Drosophila melanogaster: one gene and its partner. The protein of the gene in region 2 purifies or fractionates together with the protein of the main gene of each other region. This does not show direct contact. Each region holds a gene or a part of one and is shown on either strand. Other genes may lie near its edges.

The links. The genes of interacting proteins can lie anywhere in the genome.
Region 1: the proteins of Mis12 (region 2) and Spc105R purify together in Drosophila melanogaster (affinity purification with mass spectrometry; 2 studies listed by BioGRID, with this or other methods). This does not show direct contact.

What each region holds. Positions count from the first base shown.
Region 1 is NT_037436.4:20,798,262-20,802,015, forward strand, and holds the start of Spc105R (Spc105-related), read left to right. Parts: upstream 1-2,148; 5' UTR 2,149-2,217; coding exon 2,218-2,244; exon of another isoform or gene 2,245-2,281; coding exon of another isoform or gene 2,282-2,305; coding exon 2,306-2,409; intron 2,410-2,461; coding exon 2,462-3,207; intron 3,208-3,283; coding exon 3,284-3,754. Other genes in the region: CG3698 (uncharacterized protein), read right to left, coding at 1-90; tzn (tenzing norgay), read left to right, coding at 529-727, 882-1,729.
Region 2 is NT_037436.4:6,967,417-6,970,932, forward strand, and holds Mis12 (Mis12), read right to left. Parts: upstream 1,633-3,516; 5' UTR 1,519-1,632; coding exon 1,449-1,518; intron 1,386-1,448; coding exon 1,093-1,385; intron 981-1,092; coding exon 798-980; 3' UTR 619-797; downstream 1-618. Other genes in the region: CG10064 (uncharacterized protein), read right to left, coding at 1-391; CG9953 (uncharacterized protein), read left to right, coding at 2,416-3,203, 3,265-3,403, 3,466-3,516.

The DNA of each region.
Region 1 (3,754 bases), about 14 Mb from region 2:
AGACTGCAGCTTGGCCGTCACCCCCACGTGGTTCACCTTGATCAGGTTGGACTTGGAGGTGGCGCAATGGGGATCGGTTGATTCCGACATAGTGACTTTATGTTCTAAACTTATGACGTGCCGCTTCAAAGCCAACTGACGTCTTTTTCGTACATATGATCTGAATTCAAGTTAGGCGTGCCAAAAAGTTAACTTATAAGCTTTTTACCACAGAAGAGAACATATACTCTTTGGCCTAGAGACAAGAATATATAATTTAATATAAAAATGTATTTTTATTATTATTGGCTTATGTCTGTGCTATAAAACTTTTCATTTCCGGTTTGAGCCACCACTACGTTTGCAGGTATGTTTCGGTATATTTCCGGTAGATGGTGTACCCGTCAGTGGTTTCCCTTACCGGCCCCCAAACGGTCACACTCGCCCGAGCATAGCAGATTTGGAGAAAAAAACAACTGTAATTAGGAGCCATAATTAATTCATTTCGAATCGCACACGCTTTTCAGTTTATCTAGCCGAAAGTACAGAATGTTGGCCTCCGCCTGGCGCAGCGTGGCCACCTCCGTGGAGACCCAGTTGACGGCCACCTACTTCCGAGGTTCGTCCAGCAATCCGACACTGCTCCTGCGTTCCTGGCGGACGATTCCTCGAGCGGATGCCCCTGGTTTCGGAGCGATTCGGCGGCGTTTTCTGGCTGTGCCCGTCATCTGTCCAAGTCTCGTCAAGCGTAATCTATCCGTACATACGTGTTTAATCTAATCTCTCCCGGTGCTGCAATTTCATTTCCCAGTATCTACGCTTTTTGTTCGTCCGTAGCTAGTCAGTCTGTTTATCTGTTGGCCATCTATGTAGCTAAATGTGAAACCATCGCTTCGTTTCAGTGCAAAAACTACGAAAAGTCGGCTTCAGAGGCATGCACAGCACATTGGAGGACGTGCAGCTGGAGGGCATGGAGATCAAGATCCTGCCGGCCCTGCAGGATAACTATATGTATCTGATTGTAGACACGAAGACGCGCGAGGCGGCCGTGGTGGATCCCGTGGAGCCGGAGCTGGTCATTAAGACGGTGCAGGAGCAGCAGCTGACCCTCAGCAAGGTGCTGACCACGCACCATCACTGGGACCACGCCGGTGGCAATGAAAAGCTGCTCAAGCTGTGGGAGAAGGAGCTGGACGTGTATGGCGGCGATGACCGCATCGGGGCATTGAACAAAAAGGTTCAGCAGGACGACACCTTCACCATTGGTGGTCTGCATGTCAAGTGCTTGTCCACGCCGTGCCACACTACCGGCCACATCTGCTACCACATCACCGCGCAGCAGGGCAGCGGCGAGGGAGCCGTCTTCACCGGCGACACCCTCTTCCAGGGCGGATGCGGCCGCTTCTTCGAGGGCACTCCCGAGGAAATGTACGAGGCGCTGTGCACAAAGCTCTCCGCCTTGCCGGACGCCACAAAGGTGTTCTGTGGCCACGAGTACACGCTGCAGAACATGAGCTTCGCCCGTCACGTCGAGCCCGACAACGAGGTCATCCAGCAGAGGATCGAGTGGGCCAAGCACCGGCGCGCCTCCCAGGATCCCACTGTGCCCTCCACCATTGGCGAGGAGAAGTCCTGGAACCCCTTTATGCGCGTTCACGAAGCCACCGTGCAGAAGCACGCTGGCGGAGCCACCGATCCCGTCGTCACCATGGGCAAGCTGCGCAAGGAAAAGGACACCTTCAAAGCCTGATCTATTTCCTCGAAAGTTTCGAAACTTGTGATTTAATATTGGATTTTAATGGTTAATAAAATTAACGATGTGTGTGAAGTGCGGACAATGGATTTTTAATTATTCGCAATTTATCGGATTAAAACTTTTTTTGTTTTATTCAAATTATGACATAAATTTATTTCTTCAGCTTTATTTAAAAGAATTTATTTTTGGTATTTTGGTCTAGCAACACCCTAGAGAAGAGGGTACTGGTTGATTCCAACTTTATTCATAGAGCAATGAACTTAACAAATTTTTTAAATCCAAAGATTTTAGCAAATTTCGTAAAATTTGAATCACAACGGTTTTGGTTAGGCGTTAGTGCCTTTTGGGCATATCAAAAATACTTTTGGTATTTCTAGCGATCTATCGCCAACGATCTGGCAACACCGTCTGCCATTAACACAAAAATCGCGGCGTCTCTCCAATGGGATTTTGAAATAAAAACAAGTTAACAGCACGGCGCGATGAACGCAAACAAACGCAGAAGTTCGGTGGGTTCTTCGAAAATTAATTGATTGAGAAGCGCTCATGGTAGACCTACTCTTCTTGCAGCTGCGTAAGGTGCCGACCAAGGAAGATGAGGCGACCACAACAACGTCCGCGATCAAACAACAAATCAAGCGACGCATCAGTTTCAGTGGCAAGAAGTCCGTGAGGTACGTACAGTAGATATATGCGATGTACAACGCTCACCCGCCCTCCACATAGGGAATTCGTAAACACCAAGGAGACCAACAACTGGGACGACTCGTACGAGGTGTCGGAACACCATGCTGAGGACAGCTCGGGATCGAAGTGCTGCAGCACAGGATCAGCATCAGTAGCGAGGGTTTCCGAACATGCCGACAAGGAGAACATTCCCCTGCCCAGCCACTGCGAGCGGGAACATGTCGATCTGTCCGTGAATCTGCAGGCCAGCGTGGATTTCACCCTGCTGCCCTGCGAAATGATGGACAAATCGAGGAAGACATCCTCAATCTCTGCTGTGTCCTTTTGCATGACCTCCGAGGAGCGAAAACTGTTGCAAAGCAGTCTCAGCGACCGCCAGCTGGTAGACAAGACCATGGATCTGATATCCGGATCTCTCGTCAACCGCCACCAAATCGCGTCGAGCGTTTGTGAGGAATCCTCCATCAAAGTGGCAACAAACAAACTGGAGAAGGTGGTATTCACGCCAGCTGTCAAGGCTGTGAGTGACTCCTTCATGGACATCACGCCATTGGGATTTACTGATCCCAATCCTGCTGCTCCCGCTCCAGCTCCAGTTGCAACTCTATATCCTCCAACTCAACAAAGTTTAATGGAGCTCGAAGAGGACAGCATTGTAAGGGAGATGCGTGAGTCCACCAAAAACCAGACAAAAACTCCGGCGCAGAAATCGCTTTTCATGGACGTGGGGGAGACCAAGAATAAAACCCAACAGGGAGCTGGAGGTGCATCCTTCTCATTAAATGGTTAGTATTATCTCAGTTAAATCCCTTCCCAATAGTTTCTAATTAGCAAGTTTTCGGTTGTCACATTATTTTGCAGTTTCCAATAACCGAGATCGTTCGCCATCGAACTCCTTTGAGAGCCTTAATAGCACCATGAACTTTACGAGAGATGAGTCGATGCTGATACCATTCGACATGATTTCGGGGAAAAACATAAGCAAGAAACTCAATTTTCGTCAACTCAACGAAGACCTGGAGACGGGTAAGATCCAGATATTTCCGAACGGGCCAAAAACGCCGACCACGGATCGTAAGGCCAAGAAAAATCGGTTTTGGTGCGGCCTTGAAGAGGAGAGCGCGGGAGATAATAGTCCAAAGAAAGATATAAGAAGCATAGTGCCACGAGGAATGTTAAATTTCAGTGAGAACATGACCTTGACGCCGACGAAAACAAGTCCAGTTGGAAAGAACAAGGAGAAACTAAAGGCGGCGGATGAGAAGCAGAAGTATCGACTATCCCAGGCGGATGAGATGATGCTTGACAATACAAACTTCTTGGCCCACGCCA
Region 2 (3,516 bases):
CATCCACGCCACCGATGGACACAACGCATCTATCCTGGGCAGTAAAGCAGATGGCCTGCACAGATACCTTGTGCAGATCGTGGCGAGCGATCTCCTTGCGCTGATCGTAATTCCAGATGATCACATAGCCGCGGAAGCCCATGTGATTGATCTGACCGGAGGCCATGTATTTGCCACTCTTGCTGAGATCCAGGCACGATATGGTGTTCGTGTGTCCGGCCACAAACTCCTGCGTATTCTTCTTGTAGTCGGCGATGCCGATTTTGTTGCCCAGCGCAAAGATGATGGATCCCGTGACCGGATGCTGGCGCACTCCATTCTCCACCTTGCCATTGATGCCGAAGATTGCGCGCGGCAGCAGCTGCCTGCAGACATCGTGCGAGTCTCCCATTTTTCCAGGCTTATAGCAAAATATACGATTCGAAATGTAACATATAAGGGGGTTTTTGTGTCTGTTCTGTGCTTGAAACTTTTTAACCGGCTTGTTTTCTGTTTGAAAACAAGGCAGTTGGAAAATTTAAACAGCGACCGTTGCTTGGTTGCCGCTGTTGTCAAAGGAACTAATATAATGCTAAGGTAAATTGGTTTAAAACTAGTAAGTAATCATCTAGGTGTTTCGGATTCATAATAATTTTAATTTAATTTAATTTTAAGTTTAAAACTAAGTTAACGACATAATAATAGGTAAAGTGGAATATAGAAGAGTCTTAGTGATTATAAATGACTCCAGGGTTAAAACTAGTTTCGAAAGAAGATATTGGAAATGTAGATTAAAAAACTTGATCCAGTTAGTTTATTTAATCAGTCTCCTTCTTTATCTGCAGGGGCACTTGATTCCAGAATTGCTTCAGCTTGGTGATGTTGAGGGAGGAGCAGCTTCGCTGCACGCGATCCTGCATTTCGATCTCCTTCTGGATGAGATCCTCCATGGCGGCGTACTTCTCCTCCTCGATCTTCAAATGCGCCAGCATGGCCATGTTCTGAAATTGATGTGATTTAGCATTATTAAAACATAAAATAAAGCATCCTTTTCCCCATTATAATGATTAAAATGAGGCATACAAGATAGTTTCCATTGGTTCTACAAGTTACCTCTCTGTATTTGGCCTTCAGCTCCTCCAACCTGGCTGTCTTCTGCTCCTCCTCTTCGCTGGTATACTGATTCTCGACGAACATGTGCTCCGGATGCAGCACATGCGGTGGAACGTGGAACACTTTGCTGTCCAGTTCCCTGAGGGCTTTTAGGCCCTTGGAGGCGGATGCCTGGAAACGACGCTCAACGGTCTCCTTCTCGGCTTCCAGCAATTCCGCTGTGGCGGGTGTCTTGATCTTGTCGATGATCTGACCAATACCCTTCTTAATTATGTCCTGCACAATATGTTCGCCTATTTAAAAGGAATTAATGGATAAAGGACGCTGATCCAGAGATATAAGGATGTAGCACTCACGCTCTGCAGACAACTGTGCCGCTGTGAAATTGAAGAACTTCTGATCGTAGGCTAGGCTATTGAAGTCCATTATGACAGTTAACAACAATATTTTTTTTAAATTATATTACAATTAAACTGGATAAAAACGTAAACAATCCAAATTGTCGCGCAATTAGTGTTACCGTTTTCAGAATACAAAGAGATGCTACCACAGCAACAGTGCTGCCATACTTAGCTACAAAATCTAGTTACTAAATTTGGCTACTTATAACTGACTATACAGATGAAAAATATAAAAACAACGCATACACATGCACAATTTCCTAAAATTTTTGACAAATACATTTATTAAGCTTTCGCATTAACGGCACAGTGAAACTCCACAATAATATTTACCTAATATATGGAATAATTCAAATAAACTATATGTTGTTTATTAAAGCTACCTAAAGCATTTGAAATTCAGGAAACTTCCATTAAATTAGTTCAGTGAGAATTTAAAATTACACGCAGATGGAAATTATCAAAGCATGCAAGAATGTATACTTTTCTTAATTACTTGACAAAAATTTTGCAAAACACGTTCACATTTACGGTGCTATTAAGCTCATCGATAATATCTAGCTAGGAAATAATATAAATAAATAAAAAGCTAAATTAAGTTTTGTAAAGTTACCAGAACACTTACAGCATACAGAAATCTTTCTCTGCTTAAAATTAAATTAATTCAATTAATGATTGAAATCAATAACTATGAATGCCCCTACTGTTTTAGTTTTGCTTTGCCGGCTTTGCGAATATAGATAATACAGCGAGAACTGAATAATCAGGAGAGTGCGACACACATAACGGTGCCTATATAAATAGAACACACCACTCTCCTTCAGTCGCTATTTACAGTTAGGCACTGTGCGAGGTTCCAACTAATTAAATACTTCAATTACTGGCAAATTCTACTTGACCCGAACAAACAAAGGAAGCAAATATGCTTTTCATTGGGGGCGTTTTGAGGCCCTTGGGAGTGGGTCTTCTGCTCCTGGGACTGCTTGCGCCCATTTCCGGAATGGGATTTCGACGCGGAAGGCTGACCAAGGGATTCCTCGGGGAGCCCAGCAAGATTCCAACCCTGCAAAGGAGCCTGCACTCGGAGGATCTGTGGTTCGAGCAGCGATTGGATCACTTCAAGTCGAGCGATAAGCGCACCTGGCAGCAGCGATACTTTGTGAATGCCGACTTCTATCGGAATGACAGCTCCGCACCCGTATTCCTGATGATCGGTGGCGAGGGCGAGGCGTCGGCCAAGTGGATGCGCGAAGGAGCCTGGGTGCACTATGCCGAGCACTTTGGAGCGCTGTGTCTGCAGTTGGAGCATCGTTTCTATGGCAAGAGCCATCCCACCGCTGATCTGTCCACCGAAAATCTGCACTATCTCAGCTCGGAGCAGGCTCTGGAGGACTTGGCCAGCTTTGTAACCGCCATGAAGGTTAAGTTCAATCTGGGCGATGGCCAGAAATGGATCGCTTTCGGTGGCTCCTATCCGGGATCGCTGGCCGCCTGGGCACGCGAGAAGTATCCCGAGCTCATCTACGGTTCAATTAGCTCCAGTGGTCCTCTGCTGGCTGAGGTTGACTTCAAGGAGTATTTCGAGGTGGTCAAAGCCTCTCTAGCTGCCTACAAGCCCGAATGCGTGGACGCCGTGACCCGCAGCTTTGCGCAAGTGGAGATTCTACTCAAGCACATGATTGGACAACGCAGCCTGGACGAGAAGTTCAAGTGAGTGGATTAGGCTATCGTCCTGCACAAATTTTAATTTTGTAAACCATTTTATACTCAGAACATGCACTCCCATCAAGGACTCCATTGAAAACGACCTGGACATGGCCAATTTCTTTGAGAATCTGGCTGGCAACTTTGCTGGAGTGGTGCAATACAACAAGGACAACAGTCCCCATGCCACCATCACCATTGACGACGTGTGTTTCATCCTCACTTTGATCCCTATCAAGTCCATACTAAGAATGTTTGAACTCCATAGATCTGCGATGTCATGCTAAACACCACGGCTGGTCCACCTGTGACCCGTTTG